Linked DNA regions of Rhinolophus ferrumequinum. The protein of the gene in region 3 interacts with the protein of the main gene of each other region in a pairwise test. Links are inferred from orthologs where the notes say so. Each region holds a gene or a part of one and is shown on either strand. Other genes may lie near its edges.

What was found. The genes of interacting proteins can lie anywhere in the genome.
Region 1: the proteins of LNX1 (region 3) and TRIM54 interact in binary tests that used the Homo sapiens proteins (3 or more experiments, as listed by UniProt). The link is inferred for Rhinolophus ferrumequinum from reciprocal best matches to the Homo sapiens genes LNX1 and TRIM54.
Region 2: the proteins of LNX1 (region 3) and SRSF1 interact in a two-hybrid assay, tested with the Homo sapiens proteins (3 studies listed by BioGRID and IntAct). The link is inferred for Rhinolophus ferrumequinum from reciprocal best matches to the Homo sapiens genes LNX1 and SRSF1.
Region 4: the proteins of LNX1 (region 3) and KHDRBS3 interact in a two-hybrid assay, tested with the Homo sapiens proteins (2 studies listed by BioGRID and IntAct). The link is inferred for Rhinolophus ferrumequinum from reciprocal best matches to the Homo sapiens genes LNX1 and KHDRBS3.

The regions. Positions count from the first base shown.
Region 1 is NC_046296.1:53,402,349-53,409,813, reverse strand, and holds the start of TRIM54 (tripartite motif-containing protein 54), read left to right. Parts: upstream 1-4,455; 5' UTR 4,456-4,808; coding exon 4,809-4,976; intron 4,977-7,465. Other genes in the region: DNAJC5G (dnaJ homolog subfamily C member 5G), read left to right, coding at 778-890, 1,095-1,356, 1,778-1,919, 2,363-2,409. UniProt on the Homo sapiens protein: May bind and stabilize microtubules during myotubes formation.
Region 2 is NC_046304.1:27,597,796-27,605,548, forward strand, and holds the start of SRSF1 (serine/arginine-rich splicing factor 1), read left to right. Parts: upstream 1-4,743; 5' UTR 4,744-4,902; coding exon 4,903-5,096; intron 5,097-5,507; coding exon 5,508-5,692; intron 5,693-6,030; coding exon 6,031-6,203; intron 6,204-6,403; coding exon 6,404-6,598; 3' UTR 6,599-7,753. UniProt on the Homo sapiens protein: Plays a role in preventing exon skipping, ensuring the accuracy of splicing and regulating alternative splicing.
Region 3 is NC_046288.1:16,132,834-16,140,221, reverse strand, and holds the start of LNX1 (E3 ubiquitin-protein ligase LNX), read left to right. Parts: upstream 1-4,372; 5' UTR 4,373-4,437; intron 4,438-5,494; 5' UTR 5,495-5,621; intron 5,622-7,388.
Region 4 is NC_046297.1:68,445,727-68,452,808, forward strand, and holds the start of KHDRBS3 (KH domain-containing, RNA-binding, signal transduction-associated protein 3), read left to right. Parts: upstream 1-4,072; 5' UTR 4,073-4,140; coding exon 4,141-4,228; intron 4,229-7,082. UniProt on the Homo sapiens protein: RNA-binding protein that plays a role in the regulation of alternative splicing and influences mRNA splice site selection and exon inclusion. Binds preferentially to the 5'-[AU]UAAA-3' motif in vitro.

The DNA.
Region 1 (7,465 bases), on a different chromosome or scaffold from region 3:
GTCCTCACAGCCAGAGGGGATCTGGGGAGACAGATCCTTCCCCTGTGAACTTGTTGCCTTGGTTCTGCTGGGGCACAGCCTCCCAAGCTCTCCCTACTCTCTGGGTCTTGCTTCTTGTTCCCACAGCTATATTTTTCCGCTTCCTTCTTCACCCCTCTGTTCACCCCACTGCCCCGTTTCTGAGCAGTGGCTGGGATAGGTTGAGAGGGGAGGCTGGGGGAAGAATAAAGTCTCCGGCCTCGCTTGTAGCACTGTTCTTTGGCCTGGCTACTGGACACCTGACCTATCTTAGGCAGTTTAGGATTTGTTCTGAATCGTTTTTTCCCTTGGGAATTGTGGATCTCCCCAGTTCCTGACCCCAACCTGTTCAGGGATTGGGGCTGCACTGGTCTCTCAAACCCAGCAAGGAGTTTGGAAAAGCCCAGGGCTGTTTACTTCAGGTGCTAGTAGCTCTGGACGAAATCAGTCTCTTCCCATGTTGAGACCTCTCTTTGCTCTCTCTAGGATGTGGGGTATCCTGAGGTCTGTGTAGCTGAAGGACACCAGAAAATGTGAGAAGATGTTTCCTCTTTAAAATTCGAATTTGAATGTCTTTTCTGGTCACCTGCACTCTTCTGCTAGTCACAGATCCCGCTCGTTGTTGTTGTATACTGTCCTTTTATAGTCATTTACCTGCCCAGTCCCTGAAGGCAATGAGTTTCCCGCCACTGCACGTTCACTTCTCTATGGCCTCACCTGTAAGTTCTCACGAATGCTTCTTCTCTTCTGACCTAGATCATGTCTCATGTGAATGAAGCAACCTATCAGCTGTCCAAAAGTGGGACAACTCTCTATGCAGTGCTGGAGCTTCAGAAGGGTGCCTCACCTGAAGACATCAAAAAGGCCTACAGGTTCAGACCTCAGCCCCTTATTAAACCCTGTAATTGCTTTCTGGCCCACTTTTGAATCCCTAAGTCTTCACTTCAGTGTGGCATGGGAAGGAATTTAGACTTGGGTTGCTTGCCTCCATCCATCCTTTCTACCACATCTTATGCATTTCTTCTTCCCGATCTTGAGACCTATTCCTGTCATTCATCCTAACCCTCCCTCCCCAGCCACTCCTTATTCTTTCCCTACCCTCCTTTTGGGTATTGCCTGGGTAGGAAACTGGCCTTGAAGTATCATCCAGACAAGAATCAAGGGGACGCTCAAGCAGCAGAAATATTCAAAGAGATCAACACCGCCCACTCCGTACTGAGTGACCCTAAGAAGAGGAAAATCTACAACCAGCATGGCTCACTGGGAGTGTATTTATATGATCACTTTGGCGAAGAAGGTGTCAGATACTATTTTACACTGAATAGTTGTTGGTTCAAGGTACGCAGTTCTTCCTAGTCCCTTAAGAATAAGGAAGGAGGAATAACCACACACCATTCTCTCTCACTCACTTCACTCCTGGCAAGACTCTTCTCTTAATGCCTCCGATATTATAAAGCCTTTACCCTCTCATGGTTTCTGTACACACTATTCTATTTAAAAACACTCATTCCTTACCATATCCTAAGCTAGTTCCTTCTCAATTTTTGGCTAAAATAATATCATACTCAAAAAAAAAAAAAAAAAGAAGGAAGGAAGGAAGGAAGTAACCCTCCTCACCTAGGACTCCTTACCTCCTCTCCTAGGACAAATGCTGCTTTTGTCTCGTTATTTGGGTGCCAGGAGGACTGCAGGAGGAGGGGAGCTTGAATGGATATATGGAAGAGCTGCTGGACTGAGACCATTCTTTCCTACCTTGTAGACACTCATCCTCCTTTGTGCTCTGCTCAGCTGTTGCTGTTGCTGCTGCTGCTGCTGTTTTTGCTGTGGAGCACTTAAGCCACCTGAGGAGGTAGCGAGCAGAAAATTCCAGCAGAATGTCCAAAATCAGCCTTCCAGATCAGGTGAGAACCATAGACCGGGACTGAGGTAACAGCTGGATTAGGAATGAAATAAATGGTTGGGGCTGAAACTGTGAACCCCTAAATATGAGAGTCTCAAGTTGGTATTGGGGCAAAGTGAAGAAAGAGAAAGGGAGACTCTTAGTTTTTGAGGGGCTTATGCCACAAACTGACAGTTTGAATGTAATGGCCTCTCGTGACTGTTAAGCCAAGAAAAGGCAGTAGTTGAATACAAGCTGGAGGATGTTGTTTATTGCAATTACTCAAAAGGAAAACGAAGTGTCTGAGATTATCCCCCTGCAGCTAAACGGTAAAATGACTGAAGTTCACAGCAGTGCCACCTAGTGATGCTAACGTGTAACTGCAAAGTAACGGTTTTCTCGCCAGGAGGCTAAAATACTGTTACTCAATGTTTGTATATGTATGTTTTTCAAATTCCATCATAGGAAACCAAGGAAATTTTAGAGAGGAAGACAATTATAGTGAAGATTAATATTAAAAGATGAAGAAGAGTGAGGTATGAAAACTGAAATGTAGCAATGATTAAAGGATAAGAAAAGAATATACACTAACTGCAGATGAGTCAGTCATTAGTGGAAAGTTTATATCCTTATAGTATGGACTACAGGTGTTTATATCTTTACCAATAGGGGGTTTGCCTTACATTCTGTGTGCTCATTCATTCTGGTTAATAAGATGCCAATTTCTTCTGCCCCTAGGTGCTGACCCAGTGAAGGTGACTTCTGCTGCTGCGTCCCCTGGACAGGTTGACTAGAGGAGCAAGTAGCCCTGTCCTGACATTGACCTTGATTTACCCCTCTTCTTATAAGCATCCCAACTTTAGAAGGCTGCCATTTCTGTCTCATCCTGGGAATACAGGGTCGACCAGCTACTCTTCTTTTTAGCTCCAGTCTCAATTTTAATCTGTTAGAGAGCAGACCTCCCATCCCTACCCTCAGACAGTGAAGACAGACTTTTCCCAAGCATCCTTTTTCCTGTGTCTTCCTTGGGATTTGAGTCAATGTCAGGTGGGGGGTAGGGTCTCTGAGTCACTTGTGATGTTTCCACCAAGAACCTGAGCAGGGTGGATCCCATCCCAGAGCTGTGGCACCAGCTAACCCTCCTTTGTTGCAACTCTGTGTAGCAAGAGCTCTTAGCATCAGCCTCATTTCTAAGCCAGTACACCTTTCTGGGGCTGGTTTCACCTTCTTCTGGTGCCCATACACTTGGCATTGCCAGCCTCATTCCATGCCCCCATGAGTGAGCTTAGCATGGGTTCTGTGGGTTGACTGAAGTTCACACATCAGTGCCTGTTTTTGCCTCCTTTTTTTTTTTTTTACCACATCTTACGCAGGCTGATCACGATATATTTTGTTTTAAAAACAGGGGCATGAAACATATGATACAAAAAAGATTGCACTTTTACAGACCCTTTCCCCACTCACGCCTCTTTGCACTGCCTGTTTGGTACCCTCTGTGCACCATGTATTTGCTGCCCACCCAGGACCAGAGCCTAGTAATTCCTCACACTTGCCTTTCCTGATTGGGAGAAGGACTAAGGAATGTAAGTAAATAAAAGAGCTTTTGTCCAATCCCAGTGCATACATGGGGCCCCCAAAAGACAAATTGTGCCTGGGATAGAGAAAAAGGCCTGTACGAGAAAAAGACAGAGGAGAGCTCCCCTCTGAGCCCAGTCTGCCTCAGAGGGCGGGAATCCAGGACAACTGTGGACTCGGGGCCGAGGCTGTCCGGACAGAGCCTTGTGCTTATGTCAGTGCCCTCAAATTTCCCTGGAGACCAATTCCCCCGGTGCTCAAAATAGGTGCCTGGCATTCAGGTCCTTTCTGCCCAGCTCAGCTTCTCTCAATTTCCTGACAAATCTAAAGTCCTTGGAGTGGCTCCAGTGATGTGTTTATGGACCAGAGTCCCACACTTTCTCAGGAGCATGCTCAGGAGGTCGTCCCTGGCACAACTGCCAGCTCTAGCATTCTGAGCTTCTTTTCCTTGGGTGATCTAAGAAAGTTCTGGGTGAGAACAAGAGTGGACCAGAAGTGTTGGACCAGAGCCTCTCTCTCTAGTTGCTAGTGCTCCTGTACAGAATCACGGGGTTCAGAGGAAGAGGGCCACTGGCTAATCCTTGGAGGCAGACATTTTCAATGACTGTCTGTCGGTCTGGCAAGATCTGTCCTTCGACCCTGAGCCATGTATGCTGATTGACTGTGTCATGCCGTTTGACTTTGTGCCACTGCCCTGGAAGAAGGGCCCGAGCCAGATGATGGGGGTCAGGAGGGCACAGGAGCCTTCTGAGTGAGAGAGCGAGTGAGAGCCCAATGCCTTTGCTGGCCCACCTTTCACCACGAGCAGTCAAGCTCACCCCTGCTCTTGCTCAAGAGAGCCACCCATGCCTGAGTGAGTCAGGGTCACTCACTCGGTGACAGCTGTGGCTCGCCTTACATGAGCTAAATTGGGAGTTGGAATGTCACACAGATGCCCCTTATTCCCCACCCCCACGTTAAAATTAATCTCCTCCCTGGGGAGTGAGGAATAAACAGTGCTGCCCATAGAGTGAACACTAGTCGTTTGGGGAACAAAGGGAGAAATTTCCAGGGACAGAATCACGCAGGGAGTGAGGGAACGAGAAAACTGCATGTGCCTGGCTGGGGTATAGAGCAAAGAAGAGAGAGACGAGAAGTGTCTGAAAGAGGCTGCCTAAGGACAAGGCGAATTGTCAGAGGAAGGGACAGGAGAGATAGCAGAGCTATTTCAAGAGTGAGCAACAAAAGGGAACACAAGAATCCATAGACTGTGTAAAGTAAAAGAGGAAGGGTTCTGAGGCAGTGAGGGAAGGCCAGGACCAGAGCCAAGGCCAGGGTAGGCACGATCGCTGAGGGGATGAACTTCACAGTGGGTTTCAAGCCGCTGCTCGGGGATGCACACAGCATGGACAACCTGGAGAAGCAGCTCATCTGCCCCATCTGCCTGGAGATGTTCTCCAAACCTGTGGTGATCCTGCCCTGCCAGCACAACCTGTGCCGCAAGTGTGCCAACGACGTCTTCCAGGTAGGCCGGGGAAGGGCCAGGGCCAGGGCCAGGTGAAGCACTGCAGACTTGTGGGAGACTTCTTATCAGGTCAGAGCTGAGCTCCCAGGTGATGGGCAGAGTGCTGTATGAGCTGGGTGGTGGCTGTCCTGGCTGAAGGGCAGAAGATGAGCTGGGGGCTTAGCAGATCCCAAAGTAAGCGTGAGTCAGCAGCTGCTCTGCAGGCTGGAGAGGACAGCCTGCGCATGGACAGAGGAAAGAAGACCCCTAGAAACTAGGAGAAAGGTGATCCTCCCCAGGCTGTGTAACAGTTTGCTAGAGTACATTCCAGTTCGGAGTTTCAGATTTTGAGAACATTATAGAAAATCTGGAGAAAATAGCATTGAGATAATGAAACATTAAAAAATAAACCCTGTGAGAAAAGTCCATTATGACAGTGAAACTATCTGTATTTAAGGCAAAGCTCAGCGCATCCATCTTTTGGGGGCAGAATTAGAGGGCAGGAGACTAGGAATCCTCCCCAACTAAACTTCACACCTGTCCCCCACTCCAGACTAGTCAATAAAGGGGCCTGCGGGTTAAAAAGGATTGAGGTCACTTAAGCAGAGAGAAGGCAGAGAAGAAATTTTATGTCCCAGAAATGCAACCAGTTTGGGTTGACATGTGGTCACGGGGCAAAGCAGAACTAATCAAATTCATAGATATCATTTTAGCTACTGGTTTCATAAAGAAAAGCAGCATAAGCCAGAATGGTTTATAAATGGGCTTTCTTGTTTGCCCTGTGCCAGAGGTATAGGTTCTAGTAATCTACAAAATGGGACAAACTTCAGTGAGAGTAAGGGGAAAAGACACACACACACCCCCCTTGCAAATAAAGTAAAAACTCTGAATAGATCAGAGCTGGCTGGCTCAGTAGGCATGGCTGCTATAAGGAACATCGTGAACATTCATTTCTTCATCTGTATCAGAAATTAGGAGGAAATGTGTTGAACACAAGTGATTTTTAACTTAACCACGAAAATGCTTCCTTTTAAGTTCTTGGGGCAGCATGTTTGGGGAGAAGCAGTGGGCTCATTGTCCGGCCATCCCTCAGCCATGCCTGGGACCCACCTTTTGTCTGCCTGCCGTCTGCCATCCTTACTAAGTACCCAGCCCCTAGTCTTTCCTGCCATCTTCCCATCGAGACCCATTCCCAACTCCTATTCCACTACGAGAATATTTGGCTCCAGAATATCTCAGAGCCAGTGATTTTCCCTCTCTGGGGGCCTAGAATGACTGTTACGCTGCACACCCTGGGTATCAAGTCATATATATATGAGAGCCTATGCCTTGCCCACCATCTTGGTTTCTCCCTAAGACACTCTCTGAACATCAGGCTGAGATGCCTGGGACGGAATGGCAAAAAGACTGTGTCATCACATCTCAGGAATTTGTAGTGAAACATCCTTTCATTAGAGCCTGAAATGTGGGAAAGAAAAGAGAAGTTTTAAAAAAGAAGGTAATGTGTCTTATAAAACAACAGAATATTAAAGTGAAAGGCACACAGTGTCGTCGGGCAGAGGGACCCAGGGACAGGAGGCTAGAAGATGTTTAAGTGACTTCCTTTGTTCAAGCCAGCCCTCTGTACTCAGGCATACTTACTTTGGTTCCTTGATGCTGTGGAATACTAGCTTGGAGCCTGAGAGACCTGGCGAGGCTTTGGGTCAAACCCTGTGCAGAATGTTTGGGAGCCAGCCTGAGTCCCAGGGCTTTGGGATGGTTCTGCGGATCTTTTCAAGTACAGAGCACCCCTGGGCCCTCCAAGGAGAGAAGAGTGAACAGCTCATTTCCTTGCTGCTTTATTTGGACTGGCCTGGTGGGAGGCTGACCTAGTTCTTTAGCTGTACTTATGTATATACATCTCAGTTGATCTCCTTCTGAAAGATGAGCATATTTAGTTTTTTCACACATTGCCTCCACATTTTGACAACTCTAGACATAATCAGATTGTCTGTTTTCTAAGTTTGGGGACAAGAATAGGACTTTTGGTTCCTCTATCTTCAAACCACTTAGCAAGAATACTCTTAGAACATCGCCTAGAAAGTTAACAGGACTTATACACGTGATACCAGTATATTATATTACACACACACACACACACACACACACACACACTTTTTTCCAAACAGTATAGGAGTTTATATCATGAAAAGTGAATCTTCACCTCACGTACTCAATTCCATTCTCCATATGGAGCTAGCCATTACCAACTTTCTTGGGTAGCCTTCCAGAAATTTTCCGTGGATAGGCATGTGTGTGTGTGTGTGTGTGTGTGTGTGTGTACACATACATTTAAACTAGACTCATTATCGTACACCTGCCTTTGTTCACTTACTCTTTCTTGGCAGTTGTTCCATATCCACATTCAGATCTGTGTTTTCCTTTTTCAATGGCTGGATAGTGTTCCATTGTTATGACTGGACCACAGTCTATTTAATCAGTCCTCTAAAACATTTAGATGGTGTCATGCA
Region 2 (7,753 bases), on a different chromosome or scaffold from region 3:
CATCACTTCTATGCAAAAATGGTTCCAGAAACCCACACTCTGGCAGTGAGCATTTTGAGCCAATTAGAGTACCCCCCCCACAAAAAAAATGCAACCAACTGGAACAGAGCAACAGCTCCCGTTCTAGGCTGGCAGACCAGCAGGGGAGTTTGCTTTCACCAGGTCTTGGTACCTTATCACTAAACTGTAGTAATGACTGATGAAGCATGTGGAAGCAACATTTCACTTGAAAAAGTGTATTACTTATGTTTACAACTATTAACAATGTAAGATCTTACCCATGACAAAAACACCTATGAGACAGAGAACATGACAACACTGAATATTTGAATCAGGTTCAAGCAAAAATTACAAAAGCAGACTATTTCCTGGCAAACATTTTCTGTAAAGGGCCAAGTAAACTTGTGGACCATGTAGTCTATGTTGCAACTACTCAACTCTGCAAACAAATTTAGAAAAGTAATTCTGAGAGTTTTCAGCTAATCTGGGGTACTTTCTAAAACAATAAAGAGGAAAAAAATAATCACTCTCTCAAAATTTCAAATAAAAGTTTATTGAAATTACTTCTAACATACTTGGCATCAGTATTAACATGTAATACCACTATTACTACTAATAGCTAACATTTATATAGGACTCACACTATAAGATTTAATTGCCAAAAAAAAGGGCAATATTTTTAGCAAATAAAGCATACCTGCCATATTTTTAATATAATTCCTTAAAGACCCATTTACTCACTCCAGTTAAGAAATGTGCAATATGAAGTGGAGTTTCAATTTTTAAGAGAAAGAGCTAAGTAGGAAGAGGGAGAGAGAGAGTAATAATTAGGAAGAGGAAGACATGATGACAATATACCTCTTTGTAATAGATCACTTTGAGAGCTATTTTCTGGCAAAATCATATCCTACTGGCATCAATGATGGAACAATAAAGGTGGAAAGAATTAGCCAAAAATAAAACTAGAACCAAAGAATGAGGGAGGCCAGTCCTAAAATATGATTACCAAGAAAATATTATTTGTTGACTTATTTGAGCTTGAAAACTGGCCATCCTTACGATAGTGAAATGAAAAACCATCCTTATACCCATTGTGTCTATCCACTGACAGCAACATGATGATGTTTCCATAGAAACAACATTCTGCTCATCTAACATCCCACCTTTTTCAAAGAGCAGTCAGTAAATCGTCAATATTGGTTTTAACAGAGAATTTACTGGTAATAAAGGAAGTTACAGCAGAAATCTGTCCTCAGCATAGTTTACTAGTGAAAATGAGACAAACATAAATTAAATAAAAAGACATATACTACTTCTTCCTTTTTCAAGAATATTTACAACTAAAACAAGTGGAACAATGAATACAGAATTATGCAAGTGAACTGTTCCTGGAGATAACTCCCGTACACAATATTCCGAATCTTTGTGTCTCTTTCTTTACCTAGTAAAAGTAAGTTATCCCCAAGGAAGACAAGCATTGGCATTGACACATGAATATTAAAAACAGAATTTCCAGATTAGGGTAGCCATATTTCGGTGCAAATTACTCTGGAACACTCCCACCCCAGTAATGCCTTTAGAGGAATGGTACTACAGAGTGATTTTGCTACTTGTGGAGTTATTTTCCCCCCAGTCATTTTTAACAAGTTTTGAGTTATACTTTACATACTGTACAACTCACTCACTGTAAGTGCACACAATTCAATGATTTTTAATATATTTACAGAGTTGTGTAACTATCATCACAGGTATAGAGTTTTGAGTGTTCAGCAAATCACTGAAAAATTGGGTCTTCTGATTTCAACATTAACAGTAATTAACTTTTTGAATTTCTTTCTTTTCTATTTCCCCCCCCCCAAGTAATTATTTCCAGGGTAAAGTATAGTGCTAACACTAGCATATGCTTACTAAATTGGACTGAAAGCATTTAAAGAGTTTCTTTTTGAGGAAGTCACTTTTCCTCAAACACCAACAGTGTTAAAAATAAAGCAGCTTCTGAGAATTAAGCTGGTAAAATCCATACTTAATAAATTAGCTAATTGTGGGAGCAATCCATATAACTGCCTGTGAATGTATAACTGAGGAGTTTAGAAACACTCTAAACCTCTAATTAAGAGTAGGATGTAATCTCAGAAGGCAAAACTGCAAGTGGTTGTAATTCAGTCAGCAGAAATCTAATCAATTGCCTAGCACACTGTTTAGAGAAAGTTGAGTGAAGATTAGCCTACAGAAAGAGAATTGCCAGTCTTACCCAGCTCTGTCCAGAGACACAAAATCCAAGGGGTATGAATTTTCCTGTCATTGAAGAGGTATACTCTGTGTGGAGCAGGGATCATTTAGCAGGTCTCACCATGATCTGAATAAAATATCTCTCAAAATGACTCACCTCATTTTGAGTTCTCATTTACTAAGCAACTTCCTGATTTGCTTTCCAGACCTGCCAAAACAGTTATCTTGGTATGTACAATTTGAGCATACTAGTTATCAAAAATGAATCTGCCCCACCACCCAACAAATGAACAAATCATTTTATTTATTTGCTTTCTTGTGGACTAAAATATGTTCATCAACTCTGGTACACTAATAATATCACACCCCGTAACTGTAATAATCACCAAGCCAATGTCATCCTGGGAGACCTTGATAAACAGCCGTCCAGACCTTTCGTGCCACATCCTGACCTCATCATGGACCCCAGAACCTATAATTTGGTTCTATTCAAATACAATAAAAGATGCCAATAGAGAAACAAGAATGTCCCATTCACTCATGTTAAAGTCTACCTTGTGTTCTTCTTAATTAAACAAAATCATAAATGATTTCATTAAGTCAAACACTCAAGAATAAATCAAAGCAAATTCACAGTTTTCTTATTTTTCTGGAATGAAAATGTCTTGAAATTAAACGCACCTATGTTTAAATCACTTCAGTTATCACTTACTTAACATTTATCAACAGAAGATGAACACGAATAATTCCAAATTGATGGATAAAAGTTAGAACAGAAAGAAAATGTGCTCAGTAAATAACTTGAATGAAAATAACGAATACATGAGATGACTGCAATTTTAAAAAAATTTCTCATCTCTCTGCTACAAACCAACTAGGACAGTGCTAGAAACTGAGTAAATTTGTTAAAAAATAGTGTCCATTTGGTCAGCTTCTCATTTTAAAAATTATCAGGGGTGGCCCATTAGCTTAGCTGGTTAGATCGTGGAGCTGATAACACCAAGGTTCCGGGTTTGATCCACGCATGAGCCACTGTGAGCTGCGCCTGCTTTTAAAAAAAAAATTATCAAGTTGTTCTCTTTTTAATTAAAGTCTTGGTTTCAAAAATATCATTGAAGGATGGTCAAGCGATGTCCTTCCCTCTAAAATTTTAGGAGGTTCCTTTTCCTTTTGGGACCTACAGCCCCCTTTAAGAATCAGATTAAAATTTCCATGCACATACATATACACATAATTTTAGAAACCATCACAGACAGTTCAAGGACTACCAAACATTTGTAAAATACATTCAATCAACTTTTAGAACTAAGAAATAATGACTATCTCCTAAACGATCTATTTTTTTAATCTCAAAGACACTTTGGATTTAGAATATCCGCACTTGTGCTCCTGACTTTACTGTGACTTCTGGGATGACCAGTCAAATTTGCAGTCCTTCTCTAGGAACTCACCAGACTATTACTGCAGGCATTTTGTGTAGTAACCTTATCCATGACTTCATCTTAACCCTCCCTCATTTTCCCATTCTCCCTGATTTCATCCAGTTTTAATAATTTTTTATGGTTATCTCTGCAAATTGCCTCACATTCCTGGGGAGAGGGATTGTTGCAAATAAATGTATAATGTATTTTAACATATGTACGACTGTAGGGGTGTTTAAAAAATTTGAATTCATTTACTAATATTTTAAAATCCCAACATTTCACATAAAAATTCAGATTTTAAATATCTCTGGGGGAAAAAAATGTAAAAAGTTCTTATCTCCCTGGGATAGCATGGAAGTAGGATCAATCCTGAGCAGCAACTATGGTCTCCAGTGATCACAATTCTCACATATCCATTTTGCCCATTTATATTACCTGAAAGGACCGGTAATGAGTTCAAAAAAAGGAACGAACGAATCACCGCCACTAGCACAAGGAGTGTTGAATTGAGCTATACTAAGTTTTAAACCAAAGGTGGACCCGTACTGACTGTACAATATTTACTAAGAAATCTAAGCTGGTTCCCTAAATCAGACACTTGTCTAAGCCGGCCAAGGCTTGTTCGCAGAAGGGGCAGGAAGACAAAGTCACGCCTTGGCTCCCGGACTAGGCGCACTCTCCGAGTTCCCCGTTTCCAGAGCAACTGCCTGGTCCCTCCCCCTTTGACTCCGCCCCCGGGAGTCTTTTCCCGCCAAAGGCCGTTGACGCCGCAGAGCATGGTGGGACAGGCTCTAGGCTAGGTTTCACCAAATCCTTTCAAGGGATCGAGTTGCTTTAAAGAGGTTCATTCCTGAGGAAACTGACTTTCTCTTAAGAGTCAAAAGGGATCAATAACCCCTTTAACGAGGGCTCTGTATCTTTTTACCAAACGGCTGGTCACTCCATTAGCAAACGACTCCGCAAATCCGCAACGCGGGGAACTTTTTTTTCCCTTTGCGCGGAGGGTAACGTCGCGCGTGCGTAAACGTACTTTCGCAGCACCCGTTACGCTCGTGCGCGTGCGTACTGAGATCAAATAGCTGCTTCCTCCCGCTTCTCTTCCTCCCTCCCCCCATATCCGTGCGCCGAGCTGATAAAGGCGCCATTTTGGAGGGGCCGCGGGAGACGTGGTGTCGCTGCGGGCTCGCTCTGCCGTGCGCTAGGCTTGGTGGGAAGGCCTGTTCTCGAGTCCGCGCTTTTCGTCGCCGCCATGTCGGGAGGTGGTGTGATTCGTGGCCCAGCAGGGAACAACGACTGCCGCATCTACGTGGGTAACTTACCTCCAGATATCCGAACCAAGGACATTGAGGACGTGTTCTACAAGTACGGTGCTATCCGCGACATCGATCTCAAGAATCGCCGCGGAGGGCCGCCCTTCGCTTTCGTTGAGTTCGAGGACCCGCGGTGAGGCGGCCTGGGCCTTGCGGCCTTGTGGAATTAGGTTGGAGTAGTTGGGGAAAGCTCCACGGCCTTAACATAGAGCATGGGAAGGTGGCTTTTAGGTTGGGGGCAAGACGGTATCGCCCAGGCAGGAGTTGAATAAGTAGCTGAGTTCGTGTGGCTTTTCGGATGGCTGGGCCCCATGGACTTTCTCAGACCGACTTAGTCTCGTAGCGGGAAACTGAGGCGTTGAGGGCTGGTGTAGTCTGGAGCCTGGCGTGCTTCTGGGTGGGGGAGGGGCTTTTCCTATTATGCGGCGCATGTGGGCTCTTCCACGCTGGGTGCGCATGTGCGGGGGGTCGCTAGTTCCCGGCTGAGTTAGCCGCCTCTCCGGGTCCTTTTTCTTACTTCTTTTTGCTTTCTGTGATCACGCAGGGACGCGGAAGACGCGGTGTATGGTCGCGACGGCTATGATTACGATGGATACCGTCTGCGGGTGGAGTTTCCTCGAAGCGGCCGTGGTACAGGCCGAGGCGGCGGCGGGGGTGGAGGTGGCGGGGCTCCCCGAGGCCGCTACGGCCCCCCATCAAGGCGATCTGAAAACAGAGTGGTTGTCTCTGGTGAGTTTACTGTTAATGTGGATTGATGAGAAGGGACAGAAACCACTTAACGTTTTCCTTGCGTGACCAATTTGACAAATGGAAGTTTTAAATTTAGCTTTCTGTGTGAATTGAGGAAACAAGGGTTACTGCGATGGAGATTTATCAAATTAGGTTGCAGTACCTAGAATATGAAGATCCTTACCTTACAGATAATTTTGGAGTCCGGATTCCAGAATCTTAGCTATTTACCTAGGATCTTAAATATAATCATTGTTAAAGTAATCTTTGTTCTAATGTAAATTAAGTTTAATGAGAAATTTAGGATAATTGGTATTGGAAAAAAAACACTTTTTCAGGACTGCCTCCAAGTGGAAGCTGGCAGGATTTGAAGGATCACATGCGTGAAGCAGGTGATGTATGTTATGCTGATGTTTACCGAGATGGCACTGGTGTCGTGGAGTTTGTACGGAAAGAAGATATGACCTATGCAGTTCGAAAACTGGATAACACTAAGTTTAGATCTCATGAGGTAGGTTATACACTTATTCTTTTCTTTGGCCAGAATTGGATACAGTGGTCTTAACAGTGGAATTTAAAGGTAAGATTTCAGGCAAGGGTGCCCAAGTAAAGTGCCAGATTTCTGGTTTTAGCTACATTGTATTCATTCAGCATGCCTGAAGACAGATAAAAGCTTAGATCTTTCAATCGAAAGTTCTGTCTATTCAATAGGGAGAAACTGCCTACATCCGGGTTAAAGTTGATGGGCCCAGAAGTCCAAGTTATGGAAGATCTCGATCTCGAAGCCGTAGTCGTAGCAGAAGCCGTAGCAGAAGCAACAGCAGGAGTCGCAGTTACTCCCCAAGGAGAAGCAGAGGATCACCACGCTATTCTCCCCGTCATAGCAGATCTCGCTCTCGCACATAAGATGATTGGTGACACTTTTTGTAGAACCCATGTTGTATACAGTTTTCCTTTACTCAGTACAATCTTTTCATTTTTTAATTCAAACTGTTTTGTTCAGAATGGGTTAAAGTGTTGAATTGCATTCTTGTGTAATATCCCCTTGCTCCTAACATTTACATTCCCCACATGTCTGATAAATTGTATTTTAAGTGATGTCATAGACAGGATTGTTTAAATTTAGTTAACTCTCCATGCTCTTCAGACTGTGATATTGTGTAAATGTCTATTCTGCTCTGGTTTGTGTGAACTGGGATATTGGGGGTGTTTGTGGTTCTTACCTGGGGAAGTTCTTATGTTTATCTTGCTTTTCATGTGTCTTTCTGTAGACATATCTGAAGAGATGGATTAAGAATGCTTTGGATTAAGGATTGTGGAGCACATTTCAATCATTTTAGGATTGTCAAAAGGAGGATTGAGGAGGATCAGATCAATAATGGAGGCAATGGTATGACTCCAAGTGCTATTGTCACAGATGAAATTGGCAGTATTGACCTTATACTAAAAGGCAAGGGTTAAAAATGATTATATGCATTTACCTTAAAACACTTGCAAACGTCTTATGCAGTTATATTTAACTACAATTGCTTTGCCTATTAAACCTTGGCAATTGTGGCAAAATTACATTGCCCATTTTGTAACTATTTTGCTCCCTTCCCCCCCTTTTTTTTGTTTTAATAGGGACTAATGTGGGAAGAACTGGCTAATTTGTCACAGTGCTTAGTTACAACTGTTAATGTGTGACCTGCTGTTGGTGTACATGTGGGTACAGGGTGTCTTTAATCCCAACCAGATAGAGTATAATATCAATACTGCTAAATCTGCATGTCCTCTGTGTGACTGATATAGCGTTGCTATTTCATTTTTTTAAGACAAAATGAAAGCAAATTACAGAATTCCAACATATTGATGTAGATAATCTAGTTGGGAATACTTTTTAAGTCTCACCTTCCCCTTTAAACTAATACTCATAATTGACTCATGTTTAAAACACTTTAATTTACAAATTAAACTGCAGGTGGGAACATTAGATTTAGTTTAGGCTTAGGTGGGTAGCAATATCAGTAAACTTTTCAACTACATAACTTTTTGCAACCACAAAACCTGTAATACGCTGTA
Region 3 (7,388 bases):
GTGATATTGTGTGGATGGAAAGGATAAGGAGATGCCAATGAGGTTTAACAGGCAGGCAGGGGCCAAATCATGAAAAGCCTCGCGTGCCAAGCAACGCAAATGAACTGAAGGTGAGATGACCACTGGCAGGAAAGGAAGAGGCACTGACTGGGATTGCCAAGGTGAGTAACAAATGCCGCTGGCATCGCAGAGCATACCTAGTGGCACCAGTATTTATACTTATAGGCAGAGAGAAGGCTGGCACCATGGTTCCTCCAGGTCATCAGGAAGTGAGGGTGCTGGCAAGGAAGTGGGATCTGAGCCAGCTAGGCTTGAAGTGAAAACAGTCGGGAACAGATATTCTTGGGCCACCTCCAGGAACCAGAGATCACAACCAATTCAGAGGAGAAGGCACAGTTTGAGGAAGGGAGTGAAAACCCTGAATGGGTGAGAAAATAGAGAGTAGCATTCTCAGATTTTTTTTGAAATGGAGATTTGGGGATGATAAAAAGATCGAAGGGGTGGCCCTGAAAATGGGCAGTTTAAGAAGAATAGAGATAAATGTCCTTACAGTTGAGGAGGTCAAGGATGCCAGAGGGGTCATCGAGAAGGATCTGGAAGCCCTCAGGATGGGGCCAAAGTTCACAAGGAGAAGAGACGTTTCACATCTTTGATAGATGGTATTGGGTGAGTATATATGAAAGAGCCAATAAAGAAAAAAAAATATGACAACCTCCAAAATAGCTGCAGCCATTACCAAAAAAATTGAATAACTGACCTGGTTTATGCAAGGATGGACTCATAGAAAAATAAAGATATTCACAGTTGTGGAATAGAGGCCTTGCGACAATTGTAGAGACAGAAACAATAAAGTCCTTTTTTTATTCCTATTAAATACAAGTGTGCTGGCCACAAATGTGTGTAATAAACCTTCATAAAATGTGTACCATCTCTACTAACTGATGTACTCCCTCTACCCCAGAAAGCACACAAACCAGAGAAGTGTCTGCTCTAAATCGTAGACCTAAAGAATATTCTAGAAGCTCATGTGCAAACCAGGCAATACACAGAGTATGAGTTTGTGGGAGAAATGTAATGTCTTCCACATATACAGAACCAGATGGCATCTATCACATCAGCTGATATTTGTGATTATTACTATTATTTTCCATAATTGCCCTTCAGGGATCTGCTTATTTGCATCATTCTAAGTACTTTTAATTAGACAATGAAAGATTTGGAGCTAAGCTAGTTTTTAAAAAACCGAGGCCAATATGATGGAATGTATACAGCAATTCCATCTCATGATGCTAAATAATTTCAGCCAAAGAGGATTTTTCTGGAGATGACTTTTATTAAAATCAGATGGAATATGTTTTTTGTTGTGGCATTCGGTCTTAGACAATTCTACAAATATGCCATGAAAAAAACAGAAGGAAGCAAACATGGGGCGAAGTAATTCTAACGAATCATGAGGCATAGGCTTAGCAATAGGTTCATTGCCAGGAGGAATCCTTGAGAATGCCAACCTCCATTGTGGTGACTTAGAAGGAAAGGGCTTTGAAAACAGGCCTCCTTTCCCCCTTCAGATTTCCCTGTCAAGACACATAAAAGAATTCAAACTAATCAAAAAGCCCAAGTGAACCGGCCGGTTAAGTAGGACAGGCCCAACCTTGAGTTCAGAGAGCTTTCTAATGCATTCCACCTGCCTCTCCAAGGAACAAAATTGACAGGATGTGGTGACTGCAAAGGAGACTTGCTTCTAAAGAGAAAGATGCTCACGTGATAACCGAAATGGCATATCACGGAAGTTTTGCCTAACACTGAAAATATTGTCACTCTTAATACATTACCCCATGCCCAAGATACTGAATTTCCTTCATTCTTCCTTTTTTTTTTAAAGAAAACAAAAACTGTTTAATCATTATGAGAGAAGTAGCCAGCAGTACTGTGAAGACCTGAAGCAATCAGTCCTTGAGGGTCTTTATAATCTGGTCCCAACTTAGCCATCCCAGTTCAGTGTGCGATGGATCCTCCAGCAGGATGAATATTTCATTGCGTGGTATTTCCTCTCTCTCCGCACCACACAGCTTCCTCCCCGGCACACACAGGCTACGATGGCTATGGTCACCCCGCCTCCACCTACGCTGGAACTGTTTGCCCTTTTCACTGTCTCCAAATTCTTCAAGGTCCAATTCACGTTCCGTTCTCCATGAAATCTTTCCCATTGGCACTAGCCAACACCAATCTTTTCCTTTTCTGATAATCCCTCCCACTTACTGTCAAACTAGGGATAGAAATTGCACTGTGTTTGGACTTACATCTTGAAGATTCCGAGGTTACCTCTGAGCTCATGGGTACCCTTGGGCGAAGACTGTGAGAATGGTACGGGAGGTGGCAATGGAGCAGTATGTGTTTCATATTCGCCAACCCTGGTCTAAACCATCCATCGGGGCAGTGGTTCATATTGGAATTTAATTTTATATTGTCTCACATCACCCAGTTCTACAAAGTTCCATGTTCTTATGGCTGTTCTGATAAGATTTTCAGATTTTAAAGGTGATAGACTGATGAAGTTACAGAGAAAGACAACCATAAAAGAGGTCATAGAGAGCTACCACTGATCAGTCTGAAGGGGCCCCTCAAGTTGGCTTTCCTTTCTTGGGGTTGGTATGATAGGCCTCAAAAAGATTTCAAGTATACACCAGGGGTGATGGATTTCCTGGTGTGTTTTCTCATTACACACACACACTCACACACACTGAAGGGATAAACCAGATTACTGGTTCATTTGCAATTGGAGACATTCCTTCCTAGACACTACACTCCCCAAGGCCACTTCTTCAAGGTACTTCCTTCTGAATAGAGGATAGGTAAAAAGCTTCATAGTGTTTAGGAAGTTGCCCAGTGAGCATGAAATCAAAGCCTTCCTCCCCTTTCTTTCCAGAGACTAAAACTGCACTGGCTCTGCCACTTGCTGGTTGTGCTGTCCTTAAGCAAACGCAGCCTCTCTATGCCTTGCTTTTTCCAGCTGTAAATGTACGTAGCAATAGTGCCTAACTTACAGACTTGGTGTAGAGCGCTTAAGTGGCACCTGCTAAGCACTTATTCAAAGTTAGTTCTTTATGAATATTTATATTGTTTCACCAATACTTTAGAAATATCATTTCCATAATAATATAATAGCCCGAATGAAATAATGAAACTCATATTGATTTTTTAAACCTTTAAAGATTATTCTAAATCCAGGAGTACCAAGACACATCTCACTGGGGATGGCTGATTATGTGAAATACACCTTTTTCCCCCCCTCTTCTTTTATAAACCCTTTTTGGGAGTGAATTCCACTCCTGGTCCAACTCTTGTTCTTAATTTTTATTCATCAGACCTTTTATGTAGATGGTTGTGTGTGTATGTGAATATAGTAAGTGAAACCCCATAGCCTTGAGGCCTTTGGATAAAGCATTATGCATTGTCACTTCTTGCAAATTCTTTTCCTCTGCACGCACCAGACTCCCAGCCCCAAACCTGACTATGATTCCCCTCTCCCAAGTTGGACCTGGTGCCCTTCAGAAAAGGTGAATGATTGACACACAGGGAAGGCAGGCTGCTGGAGCCAAACCTTCTAGATGATTCATCAGGTTGGCAGGCTCGCCCAGTCCCTCCTCCTGTCCCTGGGGAAACCCTGTCCAGTGAAGGGGTAGCCTTTTTTGCTGATGTTTCTCAATGGAGTATCAAACTGGAGGACTGGTACTTTCCCCTGAAAGACCTGCATATCAAGTCTTTGCTGCCTTCATCTTTGTGTTGTTTTTAAAATTAAAGAGTAGCCACACCTACCTTCGTTTCTATTGGATAAAAACATGAATGGGGGATTTTTGTTTGTTTGTTTTTTAAGCTTCCAGCTCTTTGCGATGCACACCCAGTTTCCAGGTGAGGAAGGTAGTTTAGAGCAGTCTGGAATGGCTCAGTGGCTCAGGAGAGGAGCCAGCAGTCTTGCAAGAGAAGTACCAGAGCCTGCCCTGCACAAACACCCCCACCTCCCACCCCACTGCGCCCTTGACTAGAATTTCTCCTCCTTTCCTCCCTGGTTGTTTTACAAGGTATTGAATGACTAGCTATACCCAGTCCCTGCCCAGGCCTAGGGAGCGAATCAAGACCTGGCTTCCTTCCCTCCTCCTCTTTTCTCTCCCCTCCCATTCATCTGTCTGTTTCCCCACCCTTCCCCAAGCCACAACACCAATCAACCAACCAACTGGTCGAAAACCCTCTAAAGTAGTACAATATTAGAACCTGTGGAACCAAAGCAATTACAATATCAACAGGAGGGGGAAAGGGGAAAGAGGGAGACAGTATAGGGGGAAAAATAGGAATTTCAACATTTTTTTTCTTCAAGGGGGAAGAAATGTCTCTGGGCAAGCAGGTCATCCTCCTGGGAAGGAGAAGCCACAGTTTCCCCAGGTAACACATTCCAGAGAGTGAATGAATTGTCCAGAGATGCTGGACAGGGGCCACAGAAATACACAACGTTTAAATCCAATGATGGGAGTTGTTTACAATCCTCTGAAAGATGCCAAAGGGTTTAACAGTCAGTGGTAATAGCTCACAGCTGTGGTGCTGGCTGGGTTGTAGCGTTAACCTGTCCTCTCCTGCTGGAAAAGCTGAAGCAACACCGTGACTTGCACAGTGTCACACTCCAAGCTTGGGACAGAAATAATTCTGACTCCTCCTTCCTGGCTCTAACCAGCAGACAACGCCACATTATTACTGTACTATCATTCAAATCTGAATCATTTAAATTGCTCCTAATTGCAGGCCTATGGTGAACTGTAACTGCCATGTGACTAACTGCAGGGCCAGCAGAGGTAGGAATGACTGAGGTTTGAGACTCCTGAATATGGAATGAAAATGCTGGAAGAGGGTAGGAGTAGGGGAAAAGCGTTTGCAAACTTGACTTTGAAACTGCTGACAAGTGCCATACTTAGATTTTGTTTTCAATGAATTTGAAATGTCATCTCCAGTTTGTTATTATATTGTAATAGAGAAGCACTTGGGGTTCAAATGAATGCCATTCAAAAAGGCATTTGAGTCTAAATCTCAGATATTTACCAAGAGGTCAATCTTCACACTCTTCCTTTTTATGCCCACTAAACTACTGTCGCATTTTGATGTTTAAACTTCCTTTTAAACTCTTTCGTAGGCAGCTATTGAGAGGCGGGTGGGAGGAGAGGGCCAGGGAAGCATCCAGGCTTATAAATTCAGATCTGTCCACGGGGCTGGCCACGTGTCATGCTCAGGAAAGAAAGTACATTCCATCCAGCAAATTGCTCTAACTGATTCATTTGTCCACGCAGAGACGCCACCTACCTGCTCGCAGGTATTCAGGTAAATGACAGGTGGGCGGGACCTACTGACTGTTTCAATAGCTAAGGGCCCAGCAATGTTTTATCTGTCCAGGCTCCCGTGATGTCACACATTTCCTGCTCTCCACCGACCAATGCCCTCCTCCTTCCTCTAGGCACCTGTACGCAGAGGTTGAGGCTGGTCACAGCTCGGCCGGCTCGGGGAGCTGCTGGATTCACCCACAAGGCATGGGAGCTGCAGGGCTGCCACTGTTTTGAGAGCCCCACACAGACACTTAAAAGGTGAGCTGAAACTCCTTTTTTCTCCCTTGGCATTTAGACCACTGGCCCCTGAGGGATCCAAATCAGGAATTTGAATGAAAAATTTAAGCTGAATGGCTTAGCCCTGGGTGTTTGTCCCAGAGGGAGAAGCCCTTTTGAGAGGGAAGAGCAGAGGGATGCCTTTGACATTTTCGTTGCACAGGAAAGTTCTCCCAGGCCAGATATTTAATCCTTTTTGTTTCTCTTAATCATTAATCCAGCTTCTGCTTGTCTGGAAAGTTGATCTGATTTTTTTTTTTTTTTTAACCCTGGAGTGGAGTAGAGACTTTTTTGAAACTTAACTCAAAGGTGCAGACCAGTTCAGCCCGTTTAATGGGGGTTGGGAGGCCAGCGCCAACTGAATACAGAATTGGCTTAACGGCCTTATTTTGCCTTACTTTCTTCATTCATCACACCAGATTTCGATCTAAATCCGTGAAATGTTCGTAATTTTCCCCCCCTGAAAGTCTGTTTCTCAGATAGGTAAGTTCTGTTGCCCTACTCAGAAGCCCCTCCACTCCAGTTTCCCTTTCTCTTTCTTCTCTAAAAAAAAAAAAGTCTGCTGTTTTCTTTGTTCTCTGTTGAACACTCTTTTTAAACCACTTTGCAGTCTGGTTAGAATTATTTACTTTCGGACCTGCGCTGGCTGCCTGTTGACCTTGGGTTAAAGTATGGACTATTTCCTCATTGCTTTACAAAAACGTAACTTCAGGTCTGACATTTGATTTTTTTGAACTTGTGCACGTTTTCTCTCTCTTTTTCTTTTAATAGCAAATATACCAAGGAGATTGTTCTGCCAGGACCAGACTTTTTTTTTTTTTTTTTAAGTAATTTTACCTCTAGGATCCATTTTTGTTTTCTTACTCTTGATCACACAGCCGGTACTACTTCTATTCTTGACAGCCCAAGAGCCACACTCTACACCCAATCCTGTCGTTAGAGAACGGAAAGAAACCACCTCCAAACCCAGTACCCTACTGGGATGAACTTGGGAGAGAAATCCACCTTCCAGGCAGTCATTTCATTCTGGGTTCCTTCGTAGGTTATGTTTTCTGAGATTTCAGTTAGCAAATATGTTTGCAAAAGAATAACCTGTTGGGAATTATGGTCACACTCATTCACCCAGAAATTCAAACTGCATGTCAATTCTTCAAAAGCATTAAGTTGAAACAAGCTGAGAAAATTTTTGTCTCCAACAATTGCTTCTCACCGCTGAGAATCTGCCCTGTGCTATTGTCAACAACGCTCTTAGTACTTGGAGGCTTGTATTATTCTTTAACTGACCTTTGTGTCTGTTCTTTTCCCTGAGCTGGTGTGTTTGGGTGCTGGCTACTGCTTGTTCCTTATTAGTGTTCTCACTTGATTCAGAGTTCTCACTTGATTCAGAGTCAGCAGAGGAGAGAAGAATATCTCTTAGACCCTGAATCTTCTGGATAAAAACTTGTCTTTAAAGTCGCAAACTTCTCCCACCAGTTTACCATGGTTCATGGTTCTTTGCGCGGTAGTTAATTTATGATTGAACAAATCATATCATCACTGTATGTCAGCCTCTCTGGCTATTAAAGGAACAAAGCTGTGGCTACCAGGCCCCCAGATATAATAAAGGAAAAAAAATATAAAGATAGCAGTTCAGGGTCAGGTTATCTAGAATGCAGTTTGTCTCTTGAGTAATTTGCACATGAGCATTGTCTGAAAGGATGAGAAGACCCGCAGTGGTTCCCTTCCTGTAGTTAACTCCATCTCTTGGTT
Region 4 (7,082 bases), on a different chromosome or scaffold from region 3:
ATGACCGTGGGAGGCAGGTATTTTCTCTCTCCACGCTCAGAAACATCAAGTAGCTGACTCAAGATCACATAGCTAGGGAGTAGGAGAACCGGGGGCCAAGCAGAGCTCTCTCGGGCCCTCGGTCCAGTCAGATTGGCACTTTAGCCCCCATGACACTGCAGGGTCTGGGGTAACTGGGGTGGGGCTCTCCTTTCTAAACAAAAGGAATAGGAAGCTTGTAATGTGAGCAGCAATTTGTACAAACATGACAACTGCCTCAGAGACACACCCCCTCCATGTTGGTATATTCTGATGACACTGAGTTTTTGCAGGAGGGTCTGACCTACTGTAGTTGGTGTCACGAAGGCGGGGGGGGGAAGGCATGCGTTTGTCCTCTCTTCCGGGCAGGGCGGGTGGTGAGAGGAGACAGGTGGGGATTCTGACAGACAGTGTCATGGTGGTACTGGGCTGGGGCTAAGGGACTTGCTGTGCGGCAGAGTGGTTCCTGAGAGAGCTGCGTGACACCGAGTGAGGTTGCTTTGGGAAGTGTCCTCTGCCTCTGGGGTTTGAGTTGAATCCCTGGCCTGTGGTTCTCAGGAGGAAGGGCAGCCACTTTCTTATTGCAGCTGAGGACCTCCCATCCAGGGCAGGTGCAAACCATGCAGTGGCCCAGTGGTCCTGGGCAGGAGTGGCTGTGAAGAAGCCTGTGTTGTCCATAGCTCGCCCCTTGTACGTACCCAGGGCAGCCCCTGCACGTGGTTTGTGCTCAGTGAGTACTGGTATGTGCCTCTGGTCTGGAAGTCAGAAGACCTGAGTGGAGGTGCTGCTTGTAGGAAAACGACCGCCTTTCCCCAACCCGATTTGCTCATCTTCAAAGGGCTCACAGGATGGCCATGGCATGAAAATCAGAGAGTCTGCAGGAAGGCGCAGAGGTGCCGCCAGTCAGCAGCTCAGCCAGGTTGGTGGGTGGGGACATTGCCTGAGCATCTCACAGAGACATTCATCTCCTTCCTCCCTGGGGGGCCCACATGGGCGCTCATGGTGCTGGGTACCTGCCCTCTTGGAAGGTTCTGTGACAAGGAGGGGAGAGCAGAGGATTCAGTGCCTTTGCTGTCGATGTTCTGGTGCACAGCCCTCCTCCCCAGCTGTTGGCGAGACGTCTCTGCCAACTGTTTAGATGAAGGCGGGGGATGGAGCCAGTCACCAGTGTCAGATTGCTACCTGGGAGGGCAGAACTCAGGAGGCGAGTCCGTGGGCCTGGGATCCCTTGCTGACAGCTGTGGGCCTTAAGTAAAGTATCACACTGCTCTGAGCCTCGGTGTCCTCATGGGTAAGTGGTGATGAATAATACCTTCCCTACAAGGTGTGGAGAAAACTGAAAATCGTGAATGAAAGCCCCTGGCATCATGCCTGGCACTTAGTAAATGTTTAATTAAAACAGTGATTACTCAAGGTTTGGACCGTCACTGGGACCGAAGTTCCGAATGGAAAGGAGAGTGTAAGATCAAGTGGAGAGGGGTTCACCTGAGCATCTGGTCCCCATTCTCGTCTCCTGGGGCTCATCCACGTCCCAGACACTGTCCTCTTCCTCTCTTTACAAGGTGCTGTCAGAAACTCAAATCCTAGAATGTAATTCCTGTGTTGTAGGCATATAAGCCAGAGGTATATGCCTTCCATTCTGAAGTGACAGGGGAAAACGTTTCCCCACAAATCCTTCCAACTGCCCTCCAGGACTGCTGGCATAACCCTGGTTTTGAAGATGTGTCTCCAAAGCTCAGACAGGTTAAATAGCTGAGGTCGTACAGGGAGTCAGAGAGGAGCTGGAACTGCAGCCATCCATGTTGCTGTCCAAGCAGCTCCGCTCGGCCCCATGTCAGAAAGAGTCATGTTGTTCCAGGCCTTTCATCAGTCTGCTGGGGCAACGCAGACTGTCCAGCAGGGAGGACCCCAAGGGGTAGGGTTTGCTAAATGCCCTGGAAGCTTCAACCCAGGGGAAGGAGAGGTTCGAGAGACCTGGAAAGCAGTCATGTGGGGGGTGGGGGGGGGAAGGGTGGGAGCTGAGGAACCCAACAAAGACCACCAAGCATTTCCAATGTGCTGGAAACTGTTTGGGGGATTTCATTGCGCGTTGATGTGTTCCATTTTCATGATTCTCTTATGAAAGGGGTTCTACTATCATCCCCACTTTCAGATGAGGAAACCGAGGCACAGAAAAGTAATTTGCCCAAGATACACAGCTAGTGAGCAGCAGAGCCATGATTTCACATTCAGGCTGTCTGTCCCAGAGGCCACACATTTAACCTTCCGATTTGACTGCCTCTTGCACGTTTAGACCAAAGACGACAGAGAGAAAATTCTTACGGGGGACTCTGAAATGGCACCTTAGGTGGGAGCCAGGTCAGTCTAGGGGTGGAGCAGGGCGTGGGGTGTCTGAGAGTGAGGGCAGTTGGGCACTGGGGACTGAGACTCAGAGCAGCTCAGAGCTCCTTGATCTCCACTCTCAGCATCTGTGGTTGAAGAGTGGTCTCTATTTGCATCATTGGGTTGCCTGGGGGACTGGGAGGACGGCTCAGCCCCCCGCAGCTTGCCAGAGGAGTGGCATGCCACTGGCTTATTCTTCCAGCAGACATTTCTGGTGCCCCCATTCCTGCCCCAACGCACAGGTGCTGAAGATCCTCCCTGCAAAACAAAATTCCAGCCCCTGCGGTGAGATGCCCATGGTCTGATGAAAACAGAATGACAGCTTTCTGTAAATGAGGGCTTACCAGCCCTGGTGGGTGCATAGAGCTCTGACCAGCTTTGCTGGCTGGGGCCGGAGGGGCGGGGGGGGGGGGGTCCGTGGGAACCTTGGAAGGCTGTCCAGGGAAGGTGACATTGAAGCCAGGACTTGATGTGGGGGTTTGGTAGGGGAAAGCAGGACAGGCTCCTTGGCCTCCTGGGGGATGGTTACTCCACAAGCTCAGGAAGTCTGAAGACGGCCTGAGAGAGGGGGAGGCGAGGGACAGAGCACACCAGCATCCACGTGCTTCCCAGGGACTCTCCCCGCGAGGGGATGCGCTGTGGCGTCCCCAATCCAGGCACAGCCGCCTTATGGACGAAGAGAATGACAACCCGATGGCAACTCGGGATGACAAAGACGCCCTGAAGGACACGCGCTTTTTTATGTAATCGACCTGCCAGCGAGGGTCTGGGGAAGGCGCTCACAGCCCGGCGCCCAGCGGGGACCGCGAGCCTGCGTTTTTTCCTTGCAAACAGGAGGGGACAGCAAAGCGAAATAAGTTAGGCAAGTCCTGGGAGCCTTAAAGAGCAGGGCGGTTCGCCCGGCTGCCTTTCCCCTGCGCGCGCTGGGGCGAGCTTGCGCTCCCCTCCCTTCTTCTCCCCCATTCTGACCCCTGACCCGCGGGTACCACTGCACAGCTCTCCCACCGGGGTTGCTCGCTGGGTGACCTTGGACCGGCCGCTTGACCTCTCTGGGCCTCAGTTTGTCGGTCTCTGCCCCTGGCAATGCTGTAACAGCATCGCGGGGCTCTCCCAACGTCCCCAGGGCTGGAGGAGAGCGCGGAAAGGGGGGAGGAAGAAAGGAAGAAAATAAAGCGGAAAGAGCGAAGTAGGAGAGGCAGGTAAGGAGGAGGAGGAGAAAAGGGGGAGAAGGGGGGGGGATAAAGAGAAGGAGAGGAGGGAGGCGGCGAAGGAGGGCGGGGGGGGACGGGTGGGATGGGAGGGGCACGGCCCGGCGCGGCGGCTAAGAGCGCGGGGAGGGAGAGCGGAGTGCGGGTCGCGGCGGAGCGGGGCGCCGGCGGCGGCTGGCGGGGCTCGCCCGGGACTGCGGGAGGCTAGCTGAGCGCGCCGCCGGTCCGCCCGCGGGCCCGCTTGGAGCCCGCCCGCGCCCGCTGCCCTCTGCTGGGGAGCGGGGGGCCGCATCCGGGAGGCGCGGCCGCCAGCGCGGGGCACTCAGCGGGCGGCCCCCCCTCCCGGGGACCCGGGCGGCGCGGTCGGTTCCCACCCCGTGCCGCCTCCGCCAGGCCGACCGCCGGGCTTGGCGCGGCCGCGGCGACCAGCCCGGGTTCCGCGCCGCTGGGGCGCGGGCGCGGTCGCGAGTTGCGGGGCCGCCGCTGCCCGCCCGCGTCGAGTCCGCGTCCGGGGCCCGGGCGGCCCGCGAGCATGGAGGAGAAGTACCTGCCGGAGCTGATGGCGGAGAAGGACTCCCTGGACCCCTCCTTCACACACGCTCTGCGGCTGGTGAACCAAGGTGAGGGTGTGCGCCGCCGGTCGTTAACTGACGCCCGAGGCCATGGGGGCCGGGAAGTGGCGGCCAGGGGGCTCGGAGACGGGAGGGTCGGCACCGGGTAGGATGCGGCGGGCTTGGGAGGCAGAACTATGAGGATGGCTGGAAATAGACCTCGGGGAGGAGAGGAGGGCCCCAGGTAGCAATCGGGGGGGGGGGCATTTGGGTGGGGACCTGGGAGATATGGGACACCTGGGGAAAGCCAGAGATGTGAATTTGGGAGACTTGGGAAGGAGAAGCCTGGGGCATTGGGATGACACTTGAAGGCAATCCTTGGGGACTGGAGGACACCCAAGGGAAACTTCTGGGTGGGGGACAGCGAACATCTGGGGACTTTGTGGGGCGGGGGTTGTATTATCTCATCGGAGGGGAAGATCGGGAGGTAGCTCTGGAAACTAGTGTGGTTAGTCTAAAGAACTGGAGAAAGAGCTGGATGAAAATGGAAGGATTTGAGGAGACCAAATGCAGAAGATGCAAAGGGAACAGGTGCTGGGTTGTTAGTGAGAGTTTGAGGACCCTGGAGGAGGTTTGCGGGCAGACCCCAAGCCCGGGAGGGCAGGACCCAGCTGCCCTAGTGGCTGAGCCCAGTTCCCGCTCTCATGTCTGTATTTCTTCCATGCCCAGGCTCTAGCAGCCCTGGTGGGGCGGTCTGCCCTCCCTGGGGGGTGCACAAGTCATGCCAAGCCTCGCAGGCTGGCTGTTGCAGGGATCCATAGGGGAGAAGAGGTGACACAAGTGCCCCTTTTTGGCTTGCCTGTCCTCATTTTGGGAAGAGCTGAGTGGGCGACCCTCATTGGTGGCTGGCTCAGGGTTCAGAACACTGGCCAAGGAGTCTGCTGCCCATACCATTTTAGCACTAGTCCAGCCAGCTCAGGGTTTGAACAGTCCTGGGAATTACAGGACAGGGGCACACAGGGCTGAATGGAGGCGTGCCTGCCTGGGACAGCGTCCACTGGCTTGTTCATCCTCCAGCTTCCTGAATAATCTTCTGGGATGGAAGGTAAATGAAGTCTTCTTTCCCGGGAGCAGACCTCTTCTCCTCCTGTGTCTGGAATTCACGTTGCAGATAACGATGGGTTTGGGCCCACTTGTCTGCTTTTCTTCTGGGTTATGGCAGAAACATTATCCGGTCAGACGTGTTACCTTTTGCATGGCTCACTCTGTGCAGTGACAGTTTGTCGTCCCCGAGATGAATCGGGTCTGCTGGTCTTAACGCTGACCCTGGCTCTTTCACTGTCGAAAGTGAACAATGAGGCAGACATATTCTATTTGTACATAGATATCTATATTTTAAAACAGCAATCTCCGACGTTTGCCGATTACAACCAGTTCCTCAGACTGATGGTGGTGGAGAGACTCACTGTCTCCAAGAATTGAAGCATGATATTTGAATTGTTCAGCAGGCATCAGTATAGAGCGCTTTCCCATTTTGTTTTAATTTTAGGCTCATCTTGCTTGCTTTACTAAAACGGGCTTGTGGAAAGGTAATGGATATGTATTCTTAAATTTTATTCCCATGCCCTTCTGAACAGTCCTACAGTTAGGTTTGTACTTCTTGCTCTTTATGATTTACATAGATCTTTTGTTGCCTGCTGGGCTGTCATCTCTGTGAAAGAAATTTCTTTGTACATTGTGTGAGATGAGTGGCATTAGAAGTATTCTGGACTGTAGAATCGAGTGAATTTTTCTTCATAGAGAAGCTGAATCAAACTTACGTTGTACTCAGTTAAGGAAACAGTTTAACTAAAAGTTTAATGAGTTATTTCAAAAGTCAGATTTTTTGTGTGTGCCATAGTATTGTGTTGCTAATACATTTAAAGTTCTTTTGGTTTCTGTGTTTTTACTAGTGTTAATGGCCTCTGGTTATTTGAAATAGATATTGGACAGTATTGCTATTTAATGTTTTTTTAGATGTTAAACCTGATTACCTTACTTTTCCATCAAAAATGTAATTTTTGTAAGAAGTACATTTCTCACTCCTTCCTTATGTGAAGGAATAAAAGTGCTACTCATGTGCTCTTATTAATGTCAATTTAGATTATTTCAGACTGAAACGTTTTTCCCTTAAGTCAGAGGCTGATATCTAGGATGCAAAGTCCTATCGTTTAAAATATTAATGACGCTGTTATATAACTCGAAAATTACAAGTGCATTTCTAAAAGTGTCTTAAATCTGAATTTGGATGGTTATTAGGAAGCTTTGATTTTAAATCTGGTAACCATCTTATATTATTGACTTGAGGAAAGCGTTTTTATTCTTAGCTATATTTTTGACTCTTTGCCTCTAAAGGAAACTGGTTTTATTTTAGAGGTTACTCTGAATCTCGATACTAGAGTTGATATTCCTGCGCTAACTTGTACAGAGATGATGGTTCTGCAATGTGAATCTTCATTGTATTGTGGAATGGGTGGCAGGTCCAAATGCTAACACTACCTTATGTCTGCATAGTATTTTAAAGTTTCCAAGGCTCCTTAAGGCGCCTGCTATCCTGTTCTGTTCTCATGCTTGTATCTTTGGGAGGCTCACATGGATGTCTCCATTTCTCAGGGGAGAGAGCTTGGACTCAGCTATGCAAGCTGGGGGCAACTGACATGGATTGCCTTTGGACTCAGGTCTGTTATCGCTACCTGTGACTCCCCCAAAAGGTGGAACAAAACACTTTGCACGTGCCAATTAAAACCGTGCAGAAACCAGGTAATTAATATGCTTGCTTCTGGGTGACTTGATTTTCTAAATAAGTTTCTTCGTGTGTTTCTCCAGACGTCTTCCTTGCTGAAGTAACCATTCCTGGTAGATGTAGCCTACAGGATTTTAATGC